Mus musculus: one gene and its partners. The protein of the gene in region 1 purifies or fractionates together with the protein of each later gene. This does not show direct contact. Links are inferred from orthologs where the notes say so. Each region holds a gene or a part of one and is shown on either strand. Other genes may lie near its edges.

The links.
Region 2: the proteins of Usp25 (region 1) and Kctd10 purify together in Homo sapiens (affinity purification with mass spectrometry; 4 studies listed by BioGRID and IntAct, counting the BioPlex papers as one, with this or other methods). This does not show direct contact. The link is inferred for Mus musculus from reciprocal best matches to the Homo sapiens genes USP25 and KCTD10.
Region 3: the proteins of Usp25 (region 1) and Btbd9 purify together in Homo sapiens (affinity purification with mass spectrometry; 3 studies listed by BioGRID and IntAct, counting the BioPlex papers as one, with this or other methods). This does not show direct contact. The link is inferred for Mus musculus from reciprocal best matches to the Homo sapiens genes USP25 and BTBD9.
Region 4: the proteins of Usp25 (region 1) and Klhl9 purify together in Homo sapiens (affinity purification with mass spectrometry; 3 studies listed by BioGRID and IntAct, with this or other methods). This does not show direct contact. The link is inferred for Mus musculus from reciprocal best matches to the Homo sapiens genes USP25 and KLHL9.

Annotation. Positions count from the first base shown.
Region 1 is NC_000082.6:77,079,760-77,084,056, forward strand, and holds part of Usp25 (ubiquitin carboxyl-terminal hydrolase 25), read left to right. Parts: intron 1-564; coding exon 565-635; intron 636-1,697; coding exon 1,698-1,926; intron 1,927-3,989; coding exon 3,990-4,190; intron 4,191-4,297. UniProt on the Homo sapiens protein: Deubiquitinating enzyme that hydrolyzes ubiquitin moieties conjugated to substrates and thus, functions in various biological processes including inflammation and immune response.
Region 2 is NC_000071.6:114,377,156-114,381,885, reverse strand, and holds the start of Kctd10 (BTB/POZ domain-containing adapter for CUL3-mediated RhoA degradation protein 3), read left to right. Parts: upstream 1-1,380; 5' UTR 1,381-1,457; coding exon 1,458-1,460; intron 1,461-4,730. UniProt on the Homo sapiens protein: Substrate-specific adapter of a BCR (BTB-CUL3-RBX1) E3 ubiquitin-protein ligase complex. The BCR(BACURD3) E3 ubiquitin ligase complex mediates the ubiquitination of target proteins, leading to their degradation by the proteasome.
Region 3 is NC_000083.6:30,573,234-30,578,330, reverse strand, and holds the start of Btbd9 (BTB/POZ domain-containing protein 9), read left to right. Parts: upstream 1-2,043; 5' UTR 2,044-2,185; exon of another isoform or gene 2,186-2,343; intron 2,344-5,097.
Region 4 is NC_000070.6:88,719,529-88,724,553, reverse strand, and holds the start of Klhl9 (kelch-like protein 9), read left to right. Parts: upstream 1-2,045; 5' UTR 2,046-2,551; coding exon 2,552-4,405; 3' UTR 4,406-5,025.

The DNA of each region.
Region 1 (4,297 bases):
ATCGATACCAACACTTACCTTATTCAGATTTAAAAATTATGAAATAATGTAGCTGTGAACACCCAGTCTTTGAAGACTTTTATAAAATTCTTTTCTACTGTAAGTAGAAATAATAGGAAATGGAAGTTCCGTTATAAATTTCACTTGGCTATTTTAGTGTCCCAGTTGCATGCATAGTTGATTTTTCCTATTATCTCTACATGTATAGGGAGGTGAGCGTTAACATTCCTTGAAACCTTTCTGTACAAACTTGAATGCAGTTTGATTTTCTTGGCCCTGCATATTTCCTGAGTTGTTTTGTTTTGTTGTATTTTTAACTCTCTTTGTTCTGAACATCTCATTTCACATAGACTGCAATAATAGCATCTTAAAGAATAGTTTAGAAAACTTTTCTTCCTCAATAGTGTGATTATAAAAAACAAAAAACAAAAAAACAAAACCAAAAACCCCTTCGTCCCTCTGTTACTAGTCTCAGTAGAAACCCAGGTGACCGTGTCCTCCATTAAGTCCCGTCTTCTATCCAGGTGACCGTGTCCTCCATTAAGTCCCGTCTTCTATCCGTAGATCTGCAGGAAAGCATATCCAGAATCCATCGAACAATTGAACTCATGTACTCGGACAAATCCATGATCCAAGTAAGTGAGCGCTGGGCTGCCGGCCCCTGTCACTCTGTTGCCACACCGTGTGCTATTTGTAAGGATTTCTTTTTAATTCTGTGTATGTTTGTGTGTGCATTGGTGCCCTGGGAGGCCAACGCTGTAGGGTGACTTTAGAGCCAGAGTTACAGGCAGTTGTGGACTGCTGGACATGTGTGCCGAGAATGTTGAGTTATCCTTCCATCTTCACCTTCATCCTATTTATCTCACACCAATTCTTGGTACATGTTTTGTCATACAACTTGAATACATTTTATTCTAATAAGCAATATATTTGGTATTATAGTATAAACTAAGGAGAAAAACATTCTGATAAAATTTTATAACAGATTTCCTTCATGTTATACCTAAGTTACTCCTTTTAAAAAATCTTACAATAAAATTTACAAGCAGTTTTCCAAACATATTCATTAAGAAAAAAATATGTCCATAGGGAAAATGCATATGACCATTTAAAGGCAAATAATTGGGGTAGAAACCCTGAAGCCCCGTTCAACTCTAACTTCTTTCTGGGTGTGGGAGCAATGCCTGTAACCCCAGCGCTCGCGATGCTGAGGCAGGGAGATATGTTTGGGAGGCAGGCCAACAGGCTTGCATAGTTAGAAACTGTCTTCAGAGAGCAACAAGCATGCAAGCCTACTTTGGATATACATTGATCATGCAGTCTGGTGTTTTTGTCACTACAACTGTGAAGACAGAGAGAAACTGTGTGTATAAATGTCCACTGTAACTCCTTTGTTCAGTACAAAGAAGTACTGGGCCAGCCACCAACACGTACAATCTATTTTCAGTTTTGAAAATTACTTTCTCTTATATGTTTGTATATTTTTAGTTTAATAACTTCCATAGATTTTCTCCCTGAATAATTTTGCATGTTTTGTTTATTTGTTCTGTTGTTTTCCTCAAAACCTTTAATCCCAGCGACTTTTATTCTATTTAGAAAATGTGCCCCAGCTTTCCTTAAATAGGTAGTTTGCAGATGGCCTTGGGAAATGGTTTAGTAGACAGTATAATTCAACTTTGCATTTCTTTCCACGCCAGGTCCCTTACCGCCTCCATGCCGTCCTAGTTCATGAGGGCCAGGCTAATGCCGGCCACTACTGGGCGTACATCTTTGACCACCGGGAGAGCCGGTGGATGAAGTATAATGATATTGCTGTGACCAAGTCTTCATGGGAAGAGCTAGTGAGGGACTCTTTCGGTGGTTATCGAAATGCCAGTGCATACTGCTTAATGTACATAGACGACAAGGCACAGTTCCTAATACAAGGTAAGACGATGCCCTGCCATCACTGCTATTTCCATATCTGAGTGTTTTACCTGCATGTATGCAAGGGCACTGTGTAAGAGCCTAGTGCCTGCCCCCAAGAAGATAGGTGTGAACCCAGAGTCAGAGATGGTTGTTGTGAGCCATCATGTGGGTGTTGGAAACTGAACCCAGGTATTCAAGAGCAGCAAACTGCTGAGCTGTGTCTCCAACCCCACAGTGTGGCATTTTTGAGTAAGGATTTTTCTGTCATGATTTGGCTGTGTGATGAATTCACTGAGGGTGGAGAATTGCATTGAGAAGTGTTCATGAAAAGCTGGAATGGGGAGGTGATACAACCTAAGCTGGACTCCAGGAACGGGACCCACACCAGGCAGTCACACTGTACTCAGAGCTAATAACCAACATAAATCCGACTGTGCTCCCCATAGTGAGAGCTCCTTAGCTCCTGCAGCCAGCCGGACACTGGCTGACGGTTGACCCCTTAGTCTAGCACAGAGGGCCTTTGTTTCTGGCCTCTAAGATTTGCTCCAGCCTCATGGCCCAGTTTGAACTTTATATACTTCACTGACATTTGAGCTTCATGCCATCTCCTCTTGCACAGTTTTTTTTTGTATACTTCCCAAAACATCAGTTCAGGTTTTCTCAAAACATATTTCGGGGCTGGAGAGATGGCTCAGTGGTTAATAACACTGACTGCTCTTCCAAGATCTTGAGTTCAATTGCCAGCAACCACATGGTGACTCACAACCATGTTTAATGGGATCCAATGCCCTCTTCTGGTATATCTGAAGACGGCTACGGTGTACTCACATACATAAAATAAATAAATCTTTAAAAAAAACCAAAAGCATTTCTTCCATCAGACAATTGTGTGGTTAGGTTTGAACACTGTAATCTCTTTGGCTCAAAGCCCAAATCCCTGTGAAAATATACTGTAGTCTTTTTATTTCTGTTGTCCTAATGTAGTCTTTGCATAAAGAAAACACCCAGTATATCCCTTCTGTCTGTAGCCGTGTAAGCTTAACTAGGCTGTTCATTTATAACTAAAGTTTAATGTTGTAAGAAATCTTTAATCTCAGTGGGGTTTCTATCCCTGCTTTTGATCATTTAGTTCCCAGATAAAAGACACAGACTTTTATATTTCTAATAAGCCTTCAATGCACTACAGCTGGGCAAATCTACCTTCTGATCTATTAGAATCCACCTCTCCATCAATAACTCCGAGTTATAACTTTCCATGTTCCATCTAGGCAGCCCTCATGGCCATGTTTCTGATCTACTTGTGCCATGGAGTCTTCTCCCCTCCCCCCTCCTGCTCCCCCCTCTCCCATGCTCAACCAGGTAACTGAAAAACCTGCCTACCCAAATCCCTCCAGTAATTGGCTGTAGCCATTTTGATTTAACCAATAGTTTTAAATTAAGGAACAAGGTTTGCATAACAAAAGCTTGTAAACATGATTACTTACTCATAAGCCTAGACCTTTGGGTACAGAATTTAGCATTACAATAAATAGCCACAGAGCAAACTTCAACAGCTCACTTTGACTATTGAAGTACTAGTTGCACATTGTTTCAGAACACCTTGCTGCATTGATAAGCTTCACAGTTTATGTGATTTTATGTTGTATTTAATCCCTTAACATAAAAAACGGTTTTAGTTCTACTTTGAGCTTAACATAGTCAGAGATTGCTTCTGACTTTGGTGAAACAGTTATTTCCTGCATAATCAGACTTTGGATATTTTCTTATAATAGCAAAGTGAGGTTAGGCTCATGTTAGAATCACCAGACATTTTAATTAATTCTGTATTGCCTCTCCTTGCTACTCTTCAGACTCTAGGAACTTATCAGAAACCTTCGACTCATTTTTCTAATAGTTATGTCTTTGTTTTTCTGAGCACTTTTAGACTTTTTAAGAAAATGTAGGTAATGTTTGCTATGGTGACTGTATGTAATAATGAATAGTATATAGTTTATATGCCACTTGAAATGCATTCTATTTTGAACTTTGCATTTTTCCGTGACTTCTTAATTTTATACTAGTTTTTGAAATATGATTTTCAGAGGAGTTTAATAAAGAGACTGGGCAGGCCCTTGTTGGAATGGAAACCTTACCTCCAGACTTGAGAGACTTTGTTGAGGAGGACAACCAGCGCTTTGAGAAGGAACTGGAAGAATGGGACACGCAGCTTGCCCAACGATCACTGCAAGAAAAGCTGCTAGCTGCGCCGAAACTGCGGGAAGCAGAGGCTTCGGCCACCACAGGTTTGTCTGCTTATTAAGTTATAGTTTATAGTAGGGTAATAGCATTTATTTTTATTGTGTTTTATTATAAATTGTGCTCACTGTTATACACAGTGGTAGGACCTTGT
Region 2 (4,730 bases), on another chromosome or scaffold:
CAGACTGTGAAGTAAAAATAAACACAAGTTGCTGAGCGACTTTCTTTTATGGTAGAAGTCGCTAGTTTCCCAGGCCTAAGGGCCACCATCTAAGTGTAGACCATGTAACAGACATTGTAGATCTATTTAACTAGGCCTCCCTTTGGAAGCCTATCCTGTGAGGCTACAACACCCCAATTTTAAAAGCCTAAGATAAGACAACAGCTCTTAAAGAAACCATTAATAAGCCAAACTATTGCTCTTAGACAGCTACAGCCTATCCAGATGGGGAAACGAAATGCAGAGGGCACATAACTCGCCAGTGTCCTCACCCACCGTCCCTGACTTTGAATTCCCAAAGGAATTACTTATCGGCAAGTCAAAAAGGCAAGGTTCAGGAATCACACACACAGAAAGGCACCACAAAGAGAAGTTGAGAATGCCAGGCACCCTGTGAGGCTAGCTAGGCTTAAGTCAAAATACGATCCAGTTTTTCCAGCTTTTGATCAAGAGCCGTCAGGAACCACACTAAAACGTATTCTAAAATAATCTCCGTAAAACAATCTAATTACTCTATTTACAGAGGAGGAAACTGAGGGTCAGAGATGGGACTAGATTCACCCAAGGTCACACAGCGAGCGACAGCACTGGGCTCGAATTCCACTTGGGGTGATCCGGAGGCCCGACGCCTCTCACAGGCACCGACATCAACAACCACAAGAACAAGTCCGTCTCGCCCACAATCAGTTGGCTGGCAAGGCCAGTCGCCTCGGCACGGAAATCAATGGAAGGGGGACAAGGAGATCCCCGAAGCCCGCAAGCCAGTCCCTCCTCCGACTTCACTCAAACCAAGACTCGGCCCCCCAGATAGCCTCCCTCCGTCCCTGGCCCCGCCGCCCAGAGAAGCGCCCATCCTGTCCCCACTCGCTACCCGCAGTCCGGAGATCTTTATCCGTTCGAGGCCCCGCACTCGGGGTCCGGGCCGCAGCGACCGCCGCCTTAGCCCGATCCCCCCGAGGTCCGCCAGCCCCGGGGCAGCGGCCGAAGCCCGGCCGCCATCTTGCCCCGGGTGTTGTGCTCCGAACACCTCTTGGGAAGCAAGCAATTATTCAGTTCCGGGAAACAACAGTTCCGCACTGCTTCTTTGCCCATGGAGGAGGTGAGGACTCCTTTCCTCTTGTCATCTTCTTTAGCAGACGGAAAGGAGAAACAAACATCCAGAAGTGGGACTAAACGCCTGACTCGGCCAAGGGGAGGCGGGAACGGTTGATAAAAAGAGTTCCCCCCATCTAGGGCTTACGGGGGTGGGGGGTGGGGGGGAACGCTTTAAGAAGAGTCCCTCTGCGGGGCGGAAGTGGGGTGTGGACGGACGCCGGAAGTGCCCGCCCCGGCCCCGCCTCCGCCCCCTGCATTGAGCGAGCTGGGTGTTTCCTGCCTCTCAGTCCGGATTTGGAGACTCCGGCGTCCTCCGACTTTTCATGGTGAGGGCGGTGGCCGCCGTCGGGGAGCTTCGGGGCGGGCGAGGGTGGCGACGAGGCTGAGCGGGAGCGGTGGGGCGCTGAGTAGCGCGTGCGGGCGAGGTCCGGAGCGGGGGAAGGGCTTCAAATGAAAGGAGCCGTGGTCGGGGTGGTGGTGGTGGGGATCTGCGAAGGGGCGGCTGGTCCTGCGGGCGGTGGTGGCGCTGGGCGGCGAGCCTGGAGTGCTGATGGGCGATGGGACGTGGGAGATCGTCGGGACAAAGAGACGGCGGCGGAGGCATCGAGACCGACGCTCGGGGTGGGGAACGAACGAGGGTTCGAGGGCGTGTGGAGAGGGGCGAGCGTGTACCCTTGGAATCGAGCAAAGTCTGGCCTCTGGGAGGCTGTGCCTTGAGTAAGGTGGGGTTCCAGGCAAGAGAGGGAGGGGGCGTCTCTGAACCCACAAGTCTGGAGCGAGATGACTGGTAACAGTAATTCTAAGGAGACATGTCTGAGGTCGGGGTACCCTGACCACAGAGTCTGGCCTCAAGTGGCACCTGGATACCTACCTAATCACTTCCCTTGAGGCCCTAGGTGACCACACCTCGGGAGTCCCAGGATGTCAGCTGTTGCTGTCTGCGTTATGGGATGGTTTCGGTTTACTTGAGATTCTCTAGGGTCTGTCCCTTGAATGGTTCTTTGTCCTTGGGTGGGGATGGGGGGCGGGTGGACTATTAACCCAGGTCTTCTTTGTCTGCCACTCACTCACAAGATCAGTCCCAAACTGAAGACAGATGACTCGGCCTGTGTCTGGCTTTGGTCAAGCTCTATTTGGTATAAAACAAGAGACACACACATTGGTAGAAGGCGGCCAGCAGCACCGGTAGACCACCAACTGGTCCCCTGGGGCTAACCTGGGAACTAGTTAACAACAGGATAGTCTGGGCTCACCGATGTATTTTTACAGTCTCTGTGTGTCACTAAGGATTTGGGCTGTGAAATGGAGGGCGTTTGAAACCAGATTCTAATACCTAGCTTCCCTAGTAAGCAGGATTGACAACATCCTCATTGAGACTGTTTGGAGAAGTTCTCAAAAGCAGGAGAACTGGGGGGGGGGGGGTGACTATCCTAGAAAAAAGTGTGGGGCTTTAGTTTTTGGCCTCCTTTAACTTCGTTTGCTTCACGCAGTAGCCCTGTAGCAGAGACCTCAGGTTAGTTTAGCCTCCTTGCATAATACCCCTTAAGCAACCCGCCCGGAAGAGCTCCCTTCAGATCTCCAAGGCTACTAGATAAACAGATTGTCTAATCCTCCTTTGTATCGGAATCACCTGAAAGAGCCTTTTAATCCCAAATTGCAGGCAGCAGCACTCCTTGCTGGCCTGGGGTCTCCGCCCAGGCAGGCAGGCAGGCAGGCAGGCAGGCAGGCAGGCAGGCAGGCAGGCAGGCAGGCAGGCAGGCAGGCAGGCAGGCAGCAGTGTCTTGGAAGCTCTGGTGACTCTAATATCTCCAGTTGAGAACACCAAGTCTTGAGGAGTTCAGGAGTGGAAGGGAGCCTGAGGGAGGAGGAGGAGGTGGGCCGGGCTTTGACTCTGTTCTTGGGGCAGGGGCAGGGTGAGGGTGGGGGGAGACAGTATTTGGAAGGTTCTGGCTTTAACAGTCTGTTTTACAAAGGAGGAAACTGAGACTTAGGTTCAATAGCTCTTGTGAACCTTGCACAGAAAGTGGCGGCCTGAAACTGCAGTCCAGGTTGGCTCCACCATCGGCTTGTTTCCCTCAGCTTTCAGGAGACAGTCTGCAGGGAGTTAGTATTTTCTAGGTTTTGTTTGTTTTCCCCTGTCTTTTTTGTCTGGCTTTCCAACAAGACAGTCAACAATTCTCTCTTTTGGCCGATTTTGTTGTGGGTTTTTTTTTTTTCAATCGCTGTGAAGTGAGACTTTTATTTTGTTGTGGGTTTTTTTTTTCAATCGCTGTGAAGTGAGACTTTTATTTGTGATGTTTTGGTTTGTTTTTATATGCGGGTCAGGAAATCACTGGGCCAACAGAGTATGAGGTTTGTTAGAGAGCTTCTTCAAGACCACAGAGCTAATTATAGCCGAATGAAGGGGTACAGAACCATTTAGAACAGAGGCTTGTCATGTTGACTGCACATTAGAACCAGCTGGGGAAATTAAAAAAAAAAAGTTCCCTGGGCCACACCCGGAAGGCTGATAACAGAGGAATGTGTGTGTGTAGGACGCAGACATTACTGTCTTTTAAAAGCTCCTCTGGGTTTCCAGTGTATGGCCAGGTGGAGCCACCATTTATTTAGTGGGCAACAGTCCGGAAAGAAACTTAGATTCACCCGTCCCACCAGAACAAACTTGTCACTGACTCACCCTTTCACTGGTACCAAGTTTGCTCTCCTGCACACACAGCCCCCCCCCCCCCCCCCCCAGTTACTCATGAAGTCGGCCTGCAGGAGGACAGTGTCTCTGTGGGGAAGGCAGTGGCAGGCGACTGCTCTGTGACCCCAGGTCACCATCACAGCCCAGGATGTGAGTGGAGCCAGAACCTGCCCTCCAAGGGTCTATCCTGGTGCCAGGCACCAGGCTGCCCAGGGTGTGGGACTCAGGAAAGTCTCCAGGCTTTCATTGCTTCACCTGGTGTCTCAGGCTCCATCCTGATCCTCCATGCCTTCAGTTATTCATAGTTGGAGACAGTCTCCAAAGAGGAGACGACTTAAGACTCAGATAATCACAACAGCAGTGTTTCCTGCTGAGTGTTTGGCCGGCCTGGGCTGTGCTGAGTGCTTTGTGTCCACCCGGCTGCTTGCAACAAGGAGGGAGGGCCAGTGTCTGATAGCTGGGATACATTCGGGGATCTTGCCCACCGTGTCCCTGCGCCAGTGTGTGTGGCCGAGTTGGGGCCTTGAACATGGGTCTGGAAACACCTGAACTACACACTGCTTATCTTTCACCTTTTTTCTTTCAATGAGACGGAACTGTTCTATCTTGACTTCCATGTCATAGCTCTAAATATGCCAAGCATCACAAACAACCCAGGGCCGGGCAGGCCTTGGCCACATGCTTTGCTTGCTTTTCGCTGACCCTCTGTGAGCCATAGAATAGAGATGACCAACGCTGCCTCCACACTGTGGATGCTGTCCCAGAGTGGTAGAGATTAAGTGGTCAGGGGCATGGGCATATATATATATATATATAGAGAGAGAGAGAGAGTGTGTCAGTGCTCTCTGCCCTACTTAGAGTGAGGCTGCGCAGATGCACAAGTTCTTTAAAATCCAGCCATCTGTACACA
Region 3 (5,097 bases), on another chromosome or scaffold:
TCTCATCAGTCACGGACCTGGGTAATTTGATATTTTCCTCTAAACCTGGAGGACCCCTCCATCAGACCGTAGTCACAGTGCTCAGTCTGTGAGGCAGCTTGATCAATGGTCCTCTCTTTTCCTAGATAAACCGGGAAGCCAGGAATACACGGGGAAGCTGTTGTCTTTATTCTCAGCTGTACTAGTTTCTTACAGCTGTTGTGACAAGTTAGTAGAAACTGTGTGGCTTATACCAATTCTTGTTACACTTCTAGAGATCAAGCCCTAGATTCAAGAACCCAGTCGCTTGCCCTTTCTAGCTTCTATAGGCTGCCTGTAGTCCTTTGTTCCGTTTTTAAGGCTGACTGGCAGTAGCTTCAAAGCAGTCTCCCCTGCTTCTCTCATAAGCTTTTTTTCTGACTCTGTTGCTCTTGTCCCTAGCCCAGCGGGGCAGCATCAGAGCAATCTCTTCATAACTTTTACTGAACCAGGTCTGCAACTTCCTTCTGTCACTTTCCAGAACAGATCAGCAGATTATGGTGATGGGGGCATGGGTCTTGGTGGGAAACATTATTCTATAAAACACAACAAAGCTGGAATTGGGTATCACCTGTGGGCAGTTTCCTAATGTTAAACTCTAGGGTTTGCTCTGTTTCTTCAAAGATCTCCCACTTCAGTTTGCCCCCCCCCCCTTTTTATTTTTTTGGTTTTTCTGAGACAGGGTTTCTCTGTATAGCTCTGGCTGTCCTGGAACTCACTCTGTAGACCAGGCTGGCCTCAAACTCAGAAATCCACCTGCCTCTGCCTCCAGAGTGCTGGGATTAAAGGCATGCGCCACCACCGCCCGGCTCCCTTTGTTTTTTTAAATGTACCAATCCCGAAGTCAATTCTCCAAGGACAAATAAATTGGGGACACGTGTATCGGAAAGTAGATGTATTAAATTGATGGATATCGTTCCACATGGAAGATGAGAGCGGAGAATGTTTCCCCAACCAACGTATCCACATTCCATCGTTCTACCATGTCATCCGTAAGGAATGTCACTACCATTTAGTAACTGACACACAAAGGCAGCTTTCTTTCCGTCTTGCTAAATGTTACTCCCACCTGTCTCAGCAACCACGCTAGAAACCTGGCCTACCTATTCATTCCCCCGCTCAGAGCTGGCCTCCGCGTTTCCATCCCCACCGCCAGAGTCTAGGTTGTGGCTCTGATCCTTCACTGGCCCAGCCCTAACCCTTGCTGTGTCTGTTCATTTTCACTGCCCATTTAAGTCGTCTTTGCTTGGAATTAAGTCTTCCATCTTCAAACCCACACACCCAGGTAAGTAACTTTCAAGAGTGACGACTCTCCAGTTTCGGCCAGGAAAGACCTACAACCCAATTTCTACGGCTTCAAAGTTCACAGTGCCTGCTTCTTATGTGAAAGATGGAGTCTAATGGGCTTTATACGTTACACTTGGTAGTCCTGGAGTGTCGAGGACTTATGTCCGGGCTTTCTGTCAGGGTCTTGAAATAAGGAGTTCGAATGAGATCAGTTCGCCCGCAGCCTCGCATGCATTATTTCGTCCTAAGTTGACACCTTTCTAGCGCAGGCAAGTCGGGTATCCGTCTTCCCACTGACAGAAGGAGGAAACTGAGTCGTGGTATTTCAGGCCTGGCCTCGTAGCACCTTCATGCTGGTAATGCCTCTCTTGGCCCATTCTCCTCGTCCAACTTCTCGCACGTAGCTGACTGTCCATCAGGCAAGCGACTAAGTGCAGAAAGACGAGGCTTTCTCCAACCGGCGCTCCGGCTCGTCCCCTTACGCAGTGACGCGACCGATGACGCTATTCAGTGACGTGTGATGACGTGCCTCACCCTGAGCCAGGTGTCGGCAGGGCGGCCACACCCTCAGGGCCCAGTACTGGAGGGGCAGTGGCTCCGACCTGGGGAAACACGCCGCAAGACCCCCGCCTGAGGCGACCTGGGGCCCTGGCGTCCTGGGTTCTACTGGCCCACGGTTGAGCCGTTGCTAAGTGACGCCAGCGCGCAGAGCGCGTGCGCGGCCACGGCGGTGTGCGTGAAAGCGGGCGCGCGCCGCGACGGCGGCGGCGAGGAAGGCGGCGACGGCGGCGGTCGAGGGGGCGGTGGCCACGAGGCGGGGTCGCTGCTGGCGGAAGAGACGTGTGTGGCGGCTTCTAGGTCGCTGAGGGACATCGTCGGGGTGAGTCGCCCGGACCGCTCGTGAGAGTTGGGGCCTGGCCGCACCTGCTGCGCGGGCCCGGGGCGCGGGGACGCGCTCCCCCTCCCCGCCGGACCCGCGCGCGCCGCTCCACGCCCCTCGGCCGCTGGTTCCGGGGGCGGGGACGGGGGCTGAGGAGGGTCAGTTCCCGGGCCTGGCGCTCTGGGGTGGGGGTGGGGGGGGGTGAGAGGGGGGCGCTGGAGAGAGGGGTGCCGAGGGACAAGTGACTGGACTCCAGTGCGACGCTGCCGGTTTCCTTTTAGGAATTTGAAGCGGGAGAAGCCCGCGTTCCTCAGCAGCCGCGCGTCCACACTGAGACGCCGACTGTGCAAACCTGACAAACGCGGAAATGGGGACCCTCGGGGTTCGCAAAGTTTTGGGGTAAACCGCGAAGAGATCCGTCAGCTCTACCCTGGCGGGTCTGGGAGTAGGAGCGGGTTGTTAGAGAGATCGTTAGAATCTGTGCCTGCGTGAGCGTCGGGCACACCCACGACCCGGGGAAGGCGACTTGTCAGTGAAGATGCTGGTTGACTAACCTGTTGCCTGGACCTTCCAGCCTCACGTGCATGCCCACGTGCTTCTCTGAACATTATTATTATTATTATTATTATATCCTGTGTTGATCCACATTTTTGAAGCCAAGGGACCATATCCATCCAGTATTGTTACTTCCTCATAGACTCAAATCTGCCCTTGTATCTATTTCCCAGAACCGTGCTGTGCTTTGGCCATTTCAAGGGTCTTGCAGGTAGAGCAGCCCTGCCTTTTGTGTGTGTTCTTCCCAGAAGCAGTGCGGGCTGTTATTTATCTGGTGGAAATGTAGATTGTGTTTCACGCGTGGGCTGGCATGGTGAGACTGGAGTTAAATGATGCAACTGGCCATCAGCCAGTATACAGGATTCTGTTGGGTCCGTTGTATGTGGTGGTTTTTTAAGGAGGAATAATGGAGACAAATGGAAGAAATAATCTTTCCCGTTATGAGTTAAAGGCAGTGCCAAGTGAGAGTGACAAGATAGGGAGCACTGACATTTGATCATGCCTAAAAACTGAGGGACATAACTTTAGAGTTTCCACCCAGAGTCTAAAATCAGGAGATTCAGTTTTATAACGGAGTCTCTGTAAGGTATGGTCTCTGAAGTTCTCACGTCTTGGAATCAGTAAAGCTTGCTTTGAAAAACCACTCAGGAGCCACTGTTCTATTACGAGCTTTTGTGAGTGAGTTACTTATTTCCCCTTTTGCTTGTGCCTCCTAGAAAACTGCCCGCTCCCGGGTAGATAGCTATGCGGTTGATGCGGCCTCATACCCCGTGGACAGTACAAGGGGAACATTTAGTTTTATCCTTCACATAGTTAATGCAACTGCCTCCCTCTTTCCCGAGTTGTGCCTCTTAGTGAGAGGGTTATGGGGTCACAAGTGAGGTCCCTGACCAGCCTGTTTTCTTTTAAGAATGAGCTGTCTAGTCAGAAAAAGAAATCATGTATATGTCAAAGAATCCCAGAAGGAAGTGAGGTAGTAGGATTAGGTGGGGCTATAGTATAGGAGAAGTTTACACAGGAGGAGGTCAGATACAGGGCTGGCCTTTAAACAGAGAGTAAAATTGGAATTAGGAAAGAGATAAATCCTGTGGTGAAAAGTTAGTGCTAATTTGGTCATTGGATGGCGGAAGGATATTTTGAGGAGGCTTGTGTGACTGGAGCAGAGAAAGGTTCCTTGTACAGAAATAGTGGGGAGAGAGGCTTTACAGGGTGGCTGTAAAAGTGTTACAGACATCCCATTAATTTTAGTGTAGACTCCGTCCTGGTTAGTTTTTTGTCAACTTGACAAAAACTAGAATCACTGGGGAAAAGGACCGTCCGTCTGCTGAGGAAGTGCTTCCGTCAGGTTGGCCTGCACAGGATGGGTGTGTGGTGTGAGGGCATTTTCTTAATTGATAATTGATACAGGAGGTCCCACCCACTGCCCTGCAGATCTGGCTAGGCCTTGGCAGGCTGTCCTGGGTTGTAGGAGACAGGCAAGCCAGGAAACGGCATCTGGCTCCTGCCTCCAGGTTCCGGCCTTTGCTTTTCTTGATGATGGACAGTTGGCCTGTAATCAAAATAACCCCTCTCCTAAGCTGGTTTTGATCAGGGTTTTATCACAGCAACAGCAAATCAACTGGAACAGAGTATGTCTGTAGGGTGGGATCAAAATAAAATCTTAGACAAGAATAAGTTACAAGTGTTACTCTTTTAAAACATCTGTTTCTCCTCTTCCTCCCCCTCCTCTTCTTCCTTCTCCTGCTTCTTCTTCTTTTTGTTTTGTTTTTGTTTTTTTTTTTTTTGACAGGGTTTCTCTATGTCATGGTTTTTCTGGCTGTCCTGGAACTCAGAAATCTGCCTGTTTCTGCCTCCCAAGTGCTGGGATTAAAGGCGTGTGCCACCACTGCCTGACTCTTCTTTTTTTAAAAAAAATTGGTTATTTTAATCTATTTGATTTTTTTTTTTTTTGAGACAGGGTTTCTCTGTGTAGCCCTGGCTGTCCTGGAACTCACTTTGTAGACCAGGCTGGCCTCGAACTCAGAAATCCACCTGCCCATGCCTCCTGAGTGCTGGGACTAAAGGCGTGCGCCACCACGCCCGGCCAATCTATTTGATTCTTGAGATAGGGTTTTACATATATCCTTGGCTGGCCTAGAACTTATTTTGCAGAGTATTCTCCTTACTCTGCTTCTTGAGTACTGGAATTACAGGTGCTAGCTATCAAGCCCTGCCTAAAAATAAATGTTATTTTTACTTAAAGGATATCTGGCTGAGCTAGGATAAAATTTCTGTATCCTTTGATTTCATTTAGTAATTGGAATAAATGTTTCATTCCTGTGCAGTTATCCTGGGCTGTCAGTATTGCATGCCTTCAG
Region 4 (5,025 bases), on another chromosome or scaffold:
TGAAATTAAAAAAAAATATATTGGAATTGATATAATAAAGCACACGAGTAAATGCTATGTCTAGTGGGCCGATGACCCTAAGTCGATGCTTTTAACACATACCTGTTTAACATGACTACCAAATATTGGTGAAAGCAGAACAAAATAATCTTTTTTTTTTAAGATTTATTTATTATATGTAAGTACACTGTAGCTGTCTTCAGACACACCAGAAGAGGGAGTCAGATCTTGTTACGGATGGTTGTGAGCCACCATGTGGTTGCTGGGATTTGAACTCTGGACCTTCGGAAGAGTAGTCGGGTGCTCTTACCCACTGAGCCATCTCACCAGCCCCCAAAATAATCTTTTAAAATAGTTAAATGTTGGTGGCTGGAGAGATGGCTCAGAGGTAAAGAGCACTGGGTGCTCTTCCAGAGGACCCAGGGTTCAGTTCCAAGCATCTAGAGGATAGATCACACCTGCCTGTTACTCCAGTTGACATCCTCGCATAGCCATACATGCAGACAAAACACCAATGAACATAAAAATAAATGTAAAATAAACCATTGAAATATGAGGAGCATGTGTCCCTAATAACCATAAATGTTCATGCCTGGTTTCTCATTAACCTTGCTAGCTTAGTAGGGAAAGGACCGATGTCTTGAAGTTTGCTCTGGCACCTTCTCAGGAAGTGATCTTGTTCTTTCTTTCCCTACAGGTAGAAATTAATCTCTCGGAAGTGCCTCTTCACAGCCAGGTGACATGTCAGAGCCACTCAGGAAAGGCTTACCCCAACTCCTGAACCAAGCAGCCTCCCAGAACTTAGCTCCTGGGAAGAACTTCTCAAGACCATTCTCATTTCAACAAAGCTCTGGTATAACAGGGCACCTGGGGGGGGGGGGGGGAAGGAACGACGACCACAGGTTGTTCTACTAGTTTGGGGAAAAGAATGTTGTTCTACTAGTTTCCCGGGATTGCTGCAATTGGCCGGAAACCACCGGGAGAAGAAGGAAGGAGAAATAAAGGAAGATTAATCACCTATAGTTAAGTAAATTACATACATTTTTTTGGGGTCATCAACAGGTTGTAAGTAAGCTCTCTATATACCAATTTTGGAAAATCTTGAACTGGAAAAAAAAAATCCAGTAGGATACATGCCATTTAGAAAAGAGCCAGGAAGTGGAGCATAAGAATGTAAGTATATTCTTAGTCTGCATACAAGTAAACGCTAGAAGGATTTGGAACTTCGAGAACAGAGAACTACGGCAAATTATATACTTATTCTCAAATCAAAGTTAAAATTTGCCAGTAGCTAGAGAACTGCATGTTAATAAAAAATACTTATAAAAGCAAAGTTCAACACAAGGGAAACGCAAAGGGTAACTATTTTGGAAACATTGACTTGAATATTCTACCAAATATTATCATTATCCAAATCAGGATAACGTTTTGTGTTCAAATCATCTGCGCTTATTACAGAGTCCATAAGATAATGGAGGACATTTGTACACTGATGAAAACAGTGGACAAAGTAAACTATAACATGCTCAACTACTGGAAAACTGTAGCCAGTTAAAAATAGTGTTTGGAAAACAAAACCCTGAAAACCGTATTTATGAAGGCATTATCTCTCCTGCCAAATATTAAAAAAATGTATCATTAGGACCAAAATTTAGTGGCAAGTTAAATCTCATGTGTCTTAAATGTTAAACAAACAAACAAAAAACCTTTTACAATCAACATTTTTAATTGAGTGTGACGCAAACTGTAAAACTGTTCTTGAAGAAAATAAATAAATAAAACGATACAATGATTTCTTCTGCCAGGCTTCTTGTGTTTGAACAAAGGTTGCCTTTCGTTGCTGCTCTGGCAAAGACCTTAAGCGTAAATCTTGAAAAGAACGCGCTCTTGAAAAGCAAGCTTAAGCACACGCACGCGCATTCCTACAAGCTTACATAATGGACCCTGCACCGGCCTCGCTGGCCGGCCGGAACCCCGCCCCCAGTCCCGCCCGCGCCCTGCCCCCATCCACCGCCCCCTTGCCAGCTCAGCCGCGCAAGCGCACTAGCTGTGCAGCCGCTCCTAGCCCGGGGGATCCTGGGATTCTGCCTTTCCGGAAGGTCGGGCTGGCTCTCGGTGCTAGGCCGCCGTTCTAGGCCCAAGTCGGGATTCCAGGCCCTGCTCCAAGCCAAGTCCGTAGCCGCGACGACACAGCGGGGATCGCAGAGGACGCGGCCGCAGCTCGTTGGGGTGGCTGAGCCTTGGAGGGCGGCAGCCGGGGTGCGCAGGCCGTGACGGCCCCTCCCCCGCCCTGAGCGCAGCGGCGAAGGACGACAGCCCGGGACCGGAGGAGGTGAAGCGGTCACGTAACTGCCCCGGGTGATGACTCACCCGCTCTCCTGGCAGATTTGAGGTGCGTGCTGCTGTTGCTGCAGGGCGGACGTCGGTGTGCCCAGAGCGGTGCTGCGGCGACCGCTTGCTTGCCCTTGGTTCGGCGGCCCCGGGGTTTCCCGAGAGCGTTCTCTTTGTAACGTCTGCGGCCTGCAGCTCGCAGCGAGCTCCGGCTTCTCCCATGAAGGTGTCTCTGGGTAACGGCGACATGGGCGTCTCTGCCCACCTGCAGCCTTGCAAGTCTGGAACTACGCGGTTTTTTACCAGCAACACGCACAGTTCGGTTGTATTGCAAGGCTTTGATCAGCTCAGAATAGAGGGCCTACTTTGTGACGTGACGCTGGTACCTGGCGATGGAGAGGAAATCTTCCCGGTTCATAGAGCCATGATGGCGTCTGCCAGTGATTATTTCAAGGCCATGTTCACTGGAGGAATGAAAGAGAAAGATTTGATGTGCATCAAGCTTCATGGGGTGAACAAAGTTGGTCTGAAGAAAATCATTGATTTTATTTATACTGCAAAACTGTCTCTTAATATGGACAATCTTCAGGACACTCTTGAAGCTGCCAGCTTTCTACAGATCTTGCCGGTTTTGGATTTTTGTAAAGTATTTCTTATATCAGGCGTCTCTTTGGATAACTGTGTGGAGGTTGGCCGGATTGCTAACACCTACAATCTTATAGAAGTGGATAAATACGTAAATAATTTCATCCTGAAGAACTTTCCTGCCTTGTTGAATACTGGGGAGTTTCTGAAACTCCCCTTTGAACGGCTTGCCTTTGTGCTTTCCAGCAATAGTCTCAAGCACTGTTCGGAACTTGAGCTCTTCAAGGCAGCCTGCCGCTGGCTGAGGCTGGAAGACCCTCGGATGGACTATGCCGCAAAATTAATGAAGAATATTCGCTTTCCACTGATGACACCACAGGATCTCATCAACTATGTGCAGACAGTAGATTTCATGAGAACAGACAATACCTGTGTGAATTTACTTTTGGAAGCAAGCAATTACCAAATGATGCCGTATATGCAGCCGGTGATGCAGTCGGACAGAACTGCCATTCGATCTGATTCTACTCATTTGGTTACCTTAGGAGGAGTTTTGAGACAACAGCTAGTTGTCAGTAAAGAGTTACGAATGTACGACGAAAGGGCGCAGGAGTGGAAGTCGTTAGCGCCCATGGATGCTCCTCGATACCAGCATGGCATTGCTGTTATTGGAAATTTCCTTTATGTAGTTGGTGGCCAGAGTAATTATGATACAAAAGGAAAAACGGCTGTTGATACAGTTTTCAGATTTGATCCTCGTTATAATAAGTGGATGCAGGTGGCATCATTAAACGAAAAGCGCACATTCTTTCACCTGAGTGCCCTCAAAGGACATTTATATGCAGTTGGTGGGCGCAGTGCAGCTGGTGAACTGGCCACAGTAGAATGTTACAACCCAAGAATGAATGAATGGAGCTACGTTGCAAAGATGAGTGAACCCCACTATGGCCATGCTGGAACAGTATATGGGGGTTTAATGTATATTTCCGGAGGAATCACTCATGACACTTTCCAAAATGAGCTCATGTGTTTTGACCCAGATACAGACAAATGGACACAGAAGGCTCCTATGACTACAGTCCGAGGTCTGCATTGCATGTGTACAGTTGGAGACAAGCTGTATGTCATCGGTGGCAACCACTTCAGAGGAACAAGTGATTATGATGATGTCCTAAGCTGCGAATACTATTCGCCAACTCTTGACCAGTGGACACCAATTGCTGCTATGCTGAGAGGTCAGAGTGATGTTGGAGTTGCAGTCTTTGAAAACAAAATCTATGTTGTTGGTGGATATTCTTGGAATAACCGGTGCATGGTAGAAATTGTCCAGAAATATGACCCAGAAAAAGACGAGTGGCATAAAGTTTTTGATCTTCCTGAGTCGCTGGGTGGCATTCGGGCTTGCACTCTCACAGTTTTTCCACCTGAAGAAAACCCTGGGTCACCTTCTAGAGAATCACCTCTTTCAGCACCTTCAGATCATTCTTAGATCCAAGGTGTAATACCTTTTCAGTGTATCATGGGTGGTCTTGTTCATCCCCTTGTATTGTTTCTCCTTATTGCTACAGTTAATAGACAAAAAGGTAACTTAGACCCTTTTTTTTTTTTGGTTTGGCTTGATATTGTTTAGTAAATGGCTATACAAGTGCATTTTGAAAAGTATTAAATATATTCAGCTGTTTTAACAAGTAAAAAAGATACATAGAAAATTAGATTTTTTTTTGTGGTGTTACATGTGTCAAATTATAGATGATCTTAGTAAATGTGTAATTATGTCTGTTATACTAAAAATTAAAACATTTGATTTGACTGAAACATTAAATGGAGGTCCCCTGTTCTAACCTAATATAAAGATTGCCAAGGTACAGCTACCTCCCTCTTGGATAGTTTTGGACAATCTGTTGTCTAGGCTGTGTGATTAGTCTTAGAATATTTGAAGTTTCCTAGGTAGACAGAAATAGTAACAATATTAACTAGAAGAAACAGGTCAGGATTTGTTCTCTCACTGGAGAAAAAATAATAGGTGTGTACACTAGTCAGATATTCATGCTCACTCAAAAATTTGTGTACACACATAAACTTTTAGACTTGATAGAAACTTCAACTGTT